Linked DNA regions of Lytechinus pictus. The protein of the gene in region 3 purifies or fractionates together with the protein of the main gene of each other region. This does not show direct contact. Links are inferred from orthologs where the notes say so. Each region holds a gene or a part of one and is shown on either strand. Other genes may lie near its edges. The genes, in order: exosome complex component RRP4-like, THO complex subunit 4-like and regulator of nonsense transcripts 1-like.

Region 1 (3,758 bases), on a different chromosome or scaffold from region 3:
TTTCATCATTTTGCAATTAAAATTCCCTTTAGAAAGATGTTGCAAAGTCTTAGGGATATTTCTGATCTGTACGATGCAGGATCTAGGGGCGGGGGAGTTTTTTTTTGTATGGTAGTTTTTATTTGACAACTTCAGTTCATATACAAAATAAAATACATATAAGAAATAGAAGTTTGATGTCTTTACAAATTGATAAATACCTTGACAACTCATAAATTTAACACCATTTTTCCCCTTTAGTGTTACAATAAAACACAATGTCAGCTCTTCCAATACATAATTATAAATAACATTGATGATGATTATAATATGCATTAAGAATAAAAACTAATTCTACAATAAATTCAACATATTTATTTTTTCCAGTGTCAAATATCAACATGAAAAAGAGATTTTCCAAATACACATTGGCATGACATATCGATTAGAAATACCTAAAAAATCTATTTTTAGATATTTCTAATCGATGTGTCGATCATGCGGTCTCATGCCCCCCCCCCCCCCGCCACTAGATTATTAATCAATAGAAGAAACTGTACACACATGTAAAAAACAATACAATAAATTATAGTCTGTTTTAGATGAAAGAATGAAAAATAAACGTTAAAAACAAGCAATTAGCCGTCAAACAAATAACATTAACTTTACATCTCGCTCCCGCGCCCGGGATCTTGTTTTTCTCCTTTGACAAATTCATGCACACACGTGTCGCCCTAAGCCCCATTTCCAGCAAGCTAGCCAACACTCATTGTGAGTAACTTGTGACATGACAGCAGATGACATGAGAAATTGAGAATGAACGTTAAGAATATTACTTAGAAAGTAATTAGCGGGAAAATTATGAGGAACAATTCATTTTATGATAAAAATTTCTTGAAAACTATCAGAAAACGGTATCATGTAAAAATGAAAGGCTACGTCGGACCCAGGTCGCACCGCGGACAATTCAGTTCTAACATACATTGTAGCATGCATGTCCGGCTCAGCTAGGCGCGCTGGCAACGCTAGTGTGGCTGCTCAGGCTTGGCTGGCTGGCTCGCCGGCCGGCTGGAAGTGGAAATGCGCCAGTTTCTACGCATGGATATTTTCCGGTCATCAATAATAACATCGTAGTTTGTCTGTTGCCGAAATGATTCTGAAACATCCTTTACTTTTGAGGATTGATGATGAATGATGCAACAATTATTTCCGATGACTTTTCCCCACTTTTTATGATTTTTTAAAATTTTTTTTAATTTATTTTTTTGCCTGTGTCGCTCGCGTTTTGCACGTGACGCATATAGAGCTTGTGGAATTTACGTGTGTCGCATGCGACGCGTGTGTTCTACACTGGCGAGAACGTTGGTAGCAACATCTTCACATTTTCTGGTAGCCAAGTGGTTTATCTATCAATGTGACATGTTTCCATGGCAGCTCACAGAGGCTCAAACAGTCTAGGTCAGCATAAAGACTTAAAAATGCCAATTTTCAGCCACTAGCCCACACAGCTTATAGCCTAGGCTAAACTAATATGGGGATGGGCCAAAATGCATTTCCAGACACATTTTATAGGGCATTTAACTATTAAGCCTTATTTTTCACTATGTAGGAAATTTTATGGTAAGTTTTGAGCAATGTCTTTGACAATGATGCTAATAGGTAATGCTTTTTTAGTAGAAATGCCATTTTGTTTTTTTCGTTGTCCTACCTAACCATATTATTTTCTGAACTTAGTCTTAGATTATGTTAGAAGCTAGTCCCTAGTTTATTCTTTTTATTCAAATGAACTGTTGTTGGACAAATTCAGGGCCGGGTATGTGCAGTTACACATAATTACACTGATTATGTTGCTATGTCTTTGAACAGGCTTGGCTATTTTTTTTTCTTCCAATCAATGACAATGGTGAATCATAATGGATCACAATTTGTTTTGACAAAAAATGAAAAATACTAATTTACAATCATTATCAAAATTGGGCATGTTGGGTAGCATTTTGAAGATTGAACATGGTCATGCGAGTTCAGAAACAAAGTCTTACGTCCAAACTTCTGCCTTGCTTTAAATATTTGGCTAAAAAAAGAGAATAAAAACAAAACAAAACAAAAACACCCGTTCCCCAAGGCAAGACAAGTCCACGACGCGTATTCGCCACATTCAGGCTCTAGTCTACTCTTGAAGTTGAACTCCGCCGCTGCGCCGGCGGTGGAACTTCGACTTTTGCCATGCCCCCACATGGCCCAGCGCGGCGGCCACCCACGGGCACGGGAATGCCGTCATGGCCGTTCCCGTCGCTACTACTGGTCCATTAATTCATCACCTCATAAAATCTGTGTCGGCTGTAATGGTTGCTCCTGGTGTTACTAATCGTTGAGGTTCTGTAAATTCATCACAAACTCGTCTTTCACGAGGAGCGGTGATGGATATTGCCATTTTCCTTCCCAACTTTCGTGCACAAATAGGTCAAACGTACTGGCCTAACTAACTGAGCTAGTCAACTGAACATGCAGACAATTTTAATATGACAGCAGCAAATTGGTATCTTTCAATCGCGAATAGGAGTCATTTCGTCTGAAGTGTGGATGTCAAGTCAAAACTATTCAAATTTATTGTCAATCATGCTCAAGTAAAATAAGTGAAATAAATCAACAGAAATGTCAATGCGATTCCATAAATTTCAGTTAGGTTTTAAGTAAATTTTATCTCGCTGTGAAGATTTCAAATGGATTTCCCCCCTATTTTGATTGATTAATGCTTGCCAAAGTCTCTTTGGGCCAAAGAACAGGGGAGAACAGTATATATGAGTCGTGCTACACTATTATTGCAGCACTTCTGTAAATTTAGTTGGTATGGTATAATGTATATCATTAGGCTTCTATTACCAAATTGACACATAATAAGCGATAATCACAATAGGTTTGACCAAATTCACCTTCATTCTTACAAAAAAAACCACGTTAATTCTTTAAGCCTGTCAGTCACTCTAAAAACAAGTTAATTGTTGAAACTTTTTAACAAAACTTGTTTAGAAAGTTTAAACAGTGGTTGTTAGAGTGACGGGCTTAAACAAAGTGCTTTCAATTTTAAACAGCGTTTTTTTACAGTCATTTTGTTTCTTGTTTTGTTTTTTGCTTGTCAATTTTTTCTTAATATAGAAGCAGAACCCCTCTTATAGAAAATCGGTCCCAGCCCAGGCCCCTCTCCCCTTTAATGTTTTATTTAGCTATACGTCCATTATTCATCAATTGAGAAATTTGAGGGGCGTCGCACCTATACTGCTTGACTTCATTTTTAAGTTTTTTTTATTTGTTTTGCTTTCATAATCTATTTGTTTATTAGTTTGATTCAATTGACTTATTCGAAAATATGAAAGACCGAATGAATTAACTTCTTGAATGAAAACAAAAATGAATTATCTCTTTGCTTATGCACTAGGGGTGGTGGAGCAAAGTTATAGGGGGCACAGGGGAAAAAGGCACCTTTTCTTTTCTCTTAAAACAAATAAAAATGATTCATCTACAGCCTAATGGGGCAACATTTTTGAGGGGGCTAGATATATCACGTTAATTTATAAGAAGCTGCGATTTTTCCATTATATTCAGCAAATAACACATTTCATTGCTTCCATTCATTTCATAATACGTTGTATCATATCATTTCTTTTATTTCCTATTGGGTGTGGACCCAAGACCCCCCCCCCCCTCCGTCCCCGGGCCTGTATACGCCCCCTGCCCCCGCCTGTTACGCCACTGCCACTCACATAGCTTAAGGCACGTAGGAT
Region 2 (3,758 bases), on a different chromosome or scaffold from region 3:
TTGCTTTCATACACACAGGATATGCAAGCACTTTTACATTCTTGCCTTGAAAATCCAAACAGAATGAAAAAGATAAGACAACTATAAAACAAACAATAACATTTTTGCTTACAGGCAACAATTTTGCAAACAATCAGAGGGTGGACAAACTGCTATTCTTTAATCTGAGTAAAATACATTATGCATAAATGTGCCAAATGGTTACAACTTATTCATTATCCTGAACTTGCTATTCCTATGTTTACTCTGTTGGGATTTGTTAGGCAAGAATATAAAACCGCTTACAATGTACACAACCTGTGTGAAATAACACATCTTTCTCAGTCTTCCTCATAACATACAATGAGGGCAAAATATGTTTGCAAGGGCCTATAAAATCTAAATTTCGATGACTCAATTAGAGCGACTAGAACAAGAATAGTTTACGAGCATCCTTTGTTGAGCCTTTACATATGCCCAACTTGACAAATTGTGTTTTGATCCAAAAGACAATTGGTGGGACTGAATGAACACTTTAAATTATCTAAATGTTGCTTTTACATAGCTTTAATACATATTTTGTAGTATTACTATTATCTCTTTGTTCCACCAGTCTAAAAAAAAAAACTTTAAAAATTAAAAGGAAATATTTAATTTTTTTTCTTCAAATCTTGATGTCATAATTAGATCATATTCTAGCACAAACATAAATACAAAACATACAACTTTAGAAAGCAGGCCTTTACAAGATACCCTAACTACAGGAGAATGGACAAAATAGAAAAGATGCAAACTTACGGTCTTGATTGCATTGGGTTTGACTCTAGCTCAGTCGCTGAACCCACTAACTGAATATTCATCGGTCGACCTGTTGATGCAACGGGGCAAATAAGAAAAGTCAAAATATTGTTACCATATTCAATTGATAATCAAGGACAATTCTATTGATATTAATTTGACTTGGAGAGAAAAAATAAATGATGTGTCAATGACATTTTCAATCAAGTATGACCCCTAAAACTAATTTTTGCAGATCTGCACCACTAAAAGTGAACATGAAAGAAATTCATGGGACAAAAAGCTGTGCTGCATCATAGTCATGATTCATAAATAACATTGTGAAAATGGTTGACATGTCACTTTGATCATTCATTATTCAGTGGGCTGTCATCAAAGACACTTGCAAACTTTATGCAATTAATGATAGTATACCAACCTTGCATAACAATTATTCTATACCTGAAGAATTCAACTCTAATGAAATTTGAATGACAGCATCACAGAATTGTGATATCCCTTTTCATGTGCCCATAAAGATATGATGGGTCTCATGTGTGAGCCTTCATTGTACAACGCCTACTTAGCTTGTTGTACGCGAGCAAATGGGAGGCTGAATGTCAAACATTCGTACCGTTGCACAAAAGACGTACCATCCAAAATGTACCGTTGCACGGCTTTAGGAGGTGACGTCACAATACGATTCAATTCATTGCGCTCAGTAAAAATGCAGGTGCAATACGCGAATAGCCTGCTGGCTAAATGCGCAATGCTGCCCAGGCCCGAGGTGGTCGCTTGTGGGATTTTGCTTTTCGCTTTCCATATTTTTGCTCCCTTTTCATAGATTACTGCAGGAAAAACTCTTTGTTTTTTCATAAATTCGCTAAACTCCGAGGCGTTGTACAACACAAATAGCGAATATTCTTATTCGTGCAATGGTGCGAGATTTCGCATTCGGTGAAAGAAAGAAATGCTCTATTCAACTCGGCTAACGCCTCGTTGAATAGAGCATCTTTCACTCACCTCATGCGAAATCTCGCACCATCGCACTCATGCCTATTCGCTATTTGTATATTGTTCTTATGGAAACTTTGAAGCCAGACTTAATAAAACTAACATGATCTTTAACATCATGCCATCTCAAACTAAACCTCTCCCTCTCTCTCTAAAACCCAAACATGACCCTTCAAGGAATACAGCAGCTGAAGCGAAAAAAATGGAAGCATTATGATTACCCACCATCTAATGGCACTTGATGGTACTGCTTGATTGCTTTCATAGCGTCTGCTCTCCTTTCAAAGATAACGTCTGCTGTACCAAGACTTCTTCCCGTCCTGTCATAATGAACCGCAGCCTTCTTTAGACTACCAAAGTCTGCAAACAATTCCTGGAGAGAGAATACCATTATAATAATGAAGAATATCTATAGATGTTACAGGGACCTATTACTTTGAAGTTCTGACTGCAGGCTGGCACTGTTAGTATTTTCTGAAGCACAGTTATAATGTCACACAAAAGTGAATTTGAAAACTGCAATGATAGCATGGTGTACTTAATTTGCATTGACAGTGAAACAGTAAAATAATAGGTACATGAATGTTTCCACTGTGTGCATTTTGTCTTATAACTGGCTTGTTATGGTGTAAATTACTTTAAGTCAAAAGGGTGTGTGTTTGAGCATTTTGAATATTGGCACTGGTACTCAACAAATAAAGTGATAATGAGGAATGGATCCTTGACAGAGTAGCAAGTCATAATCAATACAATCAGTTAATACTGACAACCATTTAAATTCATCTTTTCTTCTGAGCACATGTGCAGTAAATCAAGTCTTTATGAAATTAAGAAAGGGTACAGAAACTGCTAAGTTACAGATGGAAATGAAAGGAAAATACTTGTCAAGAGCCCTACCACTAAACAACAAGGGACATAATGATGAAATGTAACTAACCTCAATATCATTATTTGAAACACCAAAGTCCAGATTTGAAACTAGCAGTTTTCCAGGTCCGTTCGCTGCAGTTGATAATCCTTGTCTTCTGATTGCACCTCCACCTTCACTGTACATATCATGCTGCCACTGATCGGGCATCTGTTTTGGCTAAATAAGGAAAACAAGCAAAAAATATGAAGACCCCATCAAAATCACATTTTATTACAATTTTCTTTAAAAAGAAAAAAAAATTACACGATATGTAGATCTAGACTTCATTGACAAAAAATTGATATAGATCAGCATTTTAATTTTGTTCTGATCATATTTTGATTCATGATTATCTGCAATGATTTTTAACATGAACACCATCTCTGGATGATCACTGGATGAAGCCCAAATATGGAATTCTGGAATACTGGCAGTGGAATCTATGAATCCATGCAACACAATCTCATTCTGGCACCAACAAATCAAATGCCAGCTGCACACTCTGTCCCTGGGTGAGAGTAAGGAAGATGTTCAATATTCTTCTTCTTCTTTCCCTCTTTCTTCATGTTCTTACATTATTTCATCTCTCTCACATTATTTTATTAATCTTTCTCACATAAGACTAGATCTAGTCTTCCTGTATTTATGTAAAACTTGACACATTTTATACTACATGTAGATCGATTTGCTGCAGATCATGCGGTGTAAAAATCTTCTTGCAGTTCATGTAGATCTCTTACTCTTAGTACATTACATTTGATTTGAACTTGCGCTTGCATATAATTATGCATCCCACCAAGTCTAGCCAGGAGGCTCTTAGATAGTAAAAATCATTCACTAACGTGTGCTTACTCGCCAAAGAGCCAGGGATTGCGTCCCATTCATGTGCGTGTACCGGGAAGAACTGATATTTTCGCCCCAGAGATTTCTACTTTGCTTCTGAAAGATCTAGCCCTAAATCATGTAATTGGGATACAACTTCATTTCCGACATTTCTACAATATTGATTTCATTTTTAAACAAGAATTCATAAAAAATGAGAAAAATATTATGAAAAGACAGGGAAAAATTGCCACGA
Region 3 (3,758 bases):
ATCATAAGCATTGCAAATTCTGATCTACAAATTCACATTTTAACATTAGCTGATAGGAATTTAAAATGACTGAGAATGTTATTTAGCATCCAAGAATATGAAACAGTAAACATAAATTATGAACACCCCCCCAAAAAAATAAAAGTGGGCAGCATAAAAAAAAGACAAATCAGATTATCTGATATAAAGTTGACTTGAATTGCACCAGATACAAGATGTAGAACTTGAGCTTAGGGGTTAAGGTAAGGTACATGTGAACACATAAAGGAAATTATTCATACTGGGAAGAAAGAATGTAAATTGCAAGAAAACTGAATCCCTACATGGTAATTTCCTTTGTGAAATACAAATTAAAATAATCTGGGGGGAATTAAACTACAGGCTATAAAGTATAAAGATTTGTAGAACTTACCTGCCAGAGGTGTTTCCTCGTCCATTGCAAAACCATTTCTTGGTTCCATTGCAGAGAACAACAGCAGCAGGGTCATGAATGCCACAGTACCTGATGAAATAAAGCAAAACCAGTGATAATTCATCCATGCCCAAGTTCCTAATGAAAGTGCAACTACAAACCCTTGGCCTTAAGGGTGGTTTATATTTTCAGAACTTATACTTCCTTCAGAATTGACTGAGGGAATTATCAAAATTGTAAGATAATCGCTGAAGCCTCTGAATTTTCTTCTTCAGATAAAACCATTTTAATTTTGAATGGAATCTTGACACAAGTGATTCAATCAAAAACATGTATGTCCAATAGTGTAAATACTCAAAGCAGACTAAGTGATAACATTTTGCAGACATTGTGAAGTTATAGTACTCATAGTGGAATTGGTTCAATGATGTGTAATGAGGACTTTGTTTCAATACTTACTTGCAGGCATGGTTGGGCAAATCTTTGGAGAGCACAGTCGCATCTTCTTCATCTTCCTCAAAGGTCAATTCTTTGACCTGTTGTCCTACAGCAGCCACAGACTCATCTATCCCATTGGTTTGACTAGCATCCACCTACATTGCAACAAAAAAATATAAAAAGTTGATCAAACGATGCATGCAAAACTTTGTTGTGTACCAGTACATATGTAGAAGCCTATAAAATGTCAATGATATTGGTAGCAGAACATGGTCAAGGTTCATTTACCCTATGTGAACTTTGACCTTTATCAAGTGACCTGCGAAGTGCGAACCGTACATGTTCCATGAAATAGGTCCTTATACAATCATACTTTTCAAAGTTATGAAATATGAAGACATTTCAGAAACTTTGTTTCATTAACAACTTTAACAAAATTAACGTTATTGGTTAATAAACATGATTAAAGTTCATTGCTCTACTTCTTAATGACCTTTGATCATGATTACATGTTAGTAGACTGAAACTCATGCAATCAGTGGACCCTTACTTGCATCGGCTGATAAATATCATGAATTACGATTCATGATATTTATCGGCCGATGCAAGTATTTTTTATCTCATGATATTGTCGCCATCTATACCCGTCTTTGTAGCTAGGCAACGATAACAAAGACGGCAAGATGGCGATATACTAACAGACTGTGAGTAAACGCTGCTCCACTTTTAATATTTTCATGTAGATTCTATTTTAAGCATAATTGTACTAAAAAAACAATGATTTTTGTTCAAAAGTTGCAAACCAATATTATACTGTAGCCCATTTACAGAAGTTTGGGCTCAAAACCCTAGAAAATTAGTATTATGGAGCAACATTATTGTTGCCCAATTCATCGGTGCGTGTAGAGCAATGACATCCCCTCCCTGGCTCCATGGAGATTCAGCACGTCAGTGATATGACATTCATCTCCAGGCACCCAAGGGTTCATTACACGCCGCCGCGCACAGAAAAATCAAGCCATAGAAGTCGTGTGTTGTGGACCCAAGAAGTGAGATCCCAGCACGCGTGACCCACTAGTTAGAAATCCACTGCCAAATGCGGTTCGTGGTGCGAGGTTAGTATACTAATAATAATACTAACCTCGCAATACGTGTGAGTGATCTCCAGGAGCCTCCTCGCTACATTGGATGGCAAAATTACTAAACTGTCATTCATGCACAGTACTTAGCTGCAACAGAACCAGAGCACTCACACGTAATGCGAGGTTAGTAAGTATTAGTATTAGTAATAGTAGACTATACTAACCAGAGAACATGATTAAACAAAGTTTATTTGAATTTAAAGTCGTTTGGAAATTCTCGACTTTAGCTTTATTTAGTTAATTTATTACTACTAAATATTAGGTCCTAGTAGTACTAGACTCTAACGTTAGATCTAGTCTAGAGTACTAGACTACTCTAAGTTAGGCCTCTAGATAGTAGATTTCCAATTCTAGATCTCTCTTGATGACGTTGACCATGTTGTCATTGTTGACGGAGTCATTAAGGCAGCGATCAACGTCCCAACGACGGTCGACTCGAGGCCGAGGTGATGCCATAGCCCATCATGCCATGAATGACAATGACAACTTTGTTGAAGGTTAGTGATATTACCTGACTCTGAGATTGTGAAGCCAAATCCAACTGGGATGCTTGGCTTTGAGAAGCTTGTGTCTGTGAAGGCAATGTAAAATCCCCCACATTGTAGTCAAAGTCTGTGCCTTGTGTGTCGGCTCCCAGCAGGTCATGTTCTTCCGCATCCAAAAACGTGAGCAAGCTCTGCGAGCTGGGTCCGTAGGCATCTACGCTCATTTTCTCTCCGTTCTCCTTTGTATCAACAATTCAATCAAAGTACAATGAACACATATGGTACGAATGAGACTGCCTCTTTAAATTAATTAATGTAAAATGACTATTCAGCCGTAATATTTTAGATTTCACAGTCCGGTACCAGCATCAAAATCCAGGTAGGCAAAAGGATCTCCACGGTGTCTGTCGCAATGCAATTCCATATACCAAACGCGCGCGCGCACTGGACAGGTACAGTATTTGATTTGCATGCATTTATACACAGAAAATTATAGAAACCAAACGTGTACTTGAAAATGCGTGATGATTTGCGCGCGAGCAACGCAACTTGGCATTTTTAGCCTCAATCAAGTCCATTATTGAAAATAGTGCATTCCTTTGATGAAATAAACAGACGTCTTAAATAATATATATATACTGTAATATATCATCATATAAGGTGTAGGCAGATTCTATATGAACGGTTATGGACTCGTGTTATACAAAAAATAGGTTTATTTTTAAGGATATTGGTTTTAAATATGTACATAAAATTCACATGAGTAAGCACATGACACGTGAATTCTCGCGATCACATACACTTATTATTATGTACATATTTAAAACCAATATCCTTAAAAATAAACCTATTTTTTGTATAATACGAGTCCATAACCGTTCATATAGAATCTGCCTACACATATATAATGATATTCTTTAAGACGTCTTTTTATAGATTTTCATAAGGCGGCTGCCAATTCTTATTGACTTCAACGACTTAAATTACGACATAACTTAGCCTATACTTAAGTTGCAGTAACCTTCTTCTGTGTATACATAGAAGAAGGCCCCAAAAATGACTGAAAGCTTGTGAATAAACTTGATGAACTGAACCCCGGCTACGTTTGATTGCTTTATTCTCGCTGTATCTACATAATTATAGCATCCTCTCAAATATATACTAGAAAGCACCTCGCAATGTATAGGTCCCTGCTCTTCACAATTATATATATATATATATCATATATGCATATTTATGTATAATTCATAACGATGTTAAATTTCTAATATAATGATTAAA

Evidence for each region.
Region 1: the proteins of regulator of nonsense transcripts 1-like (region 3) and exosome complex component RRP4-like purify together in Homo sapiens (affinity purification with western blotting; 3 studies listed by BioGRID and IntAct, with this or other methods). This does not show direct contact. The link is inferred for Lytechinus pictus from reciprocal best matches to the Homo sapiens genes UPF1 and EXOSC2.
Region 2: the proteins of regulator of nonsense transcripts 1-like (region 3) and THO complex subunit 4-like purify together in Homo sapiens (co-immunoprecipitation; 3 studies listed by BioGRID and IntAct, with this or other methods). This does not show direct contact. The link is inferred for Lytechinus pictus from reciprocal best matches to the Homo sapiens genes UPF1 and ALYREF.

What each region holds. Positions count from the first base shown.
Region 1 is NC_087259.1:10,557,578-10,561,335, forward strand, and holds the start of exosome complex component RRP4-like, read right to left. Parts: upstream 2,551-3,758; 5' UTR 2,411-2,550; coding exon 2,298-2,410; intron 1-2,297. UniProt on the Homo sapiens protein: Non-catalytic component of the RNA exosome complex which has 3'->5' exoribonuclease activity and participates in a multitude of cellular RNA processing and degradation events.
Region 2 is NC_087254.1:29,241,849-29,245,606, forward strand, and holds the start of THO complex subunit 4-like, read right to left. Parts: upstream 2,891-3,758; 5' UTR 2,849-2,890; coding exon 2,708-2,848; intron 2,144-2,707; coding exon 1,996-2,143; intron 848-1,995; coding exon 778-847; intron 1-777. UniProt on the Homo sapiens protein: Functions as an mRNA export adapter; component of the transcription/export (TREX) complex which is thought to couple mRNA transcription, processing and nuclear export, and specifically associates with spliced mRNA and not with unspliced pre-mRNA.
Region 3 is NC_087249.1:22,497,836-22,501,593, forward strand, and holds the start of regulator of nonsense transcripts 1-like, read right to left. Parts: upstream 2,948-3,758; 5' UTR 2,702-2,947; coding exon 2,504-2,701; intron 1,006-2,503; coding exon 872-1,005; intron 503-871; coding exon 413-502; intron 1-412. UniProt on the Homo sapiens protein: RNA-dependent helicase required for nonsense-mediated decay (NMD) of aberrant mRNAs containing premature stop codons and modulates the expression level of normal mRNAs.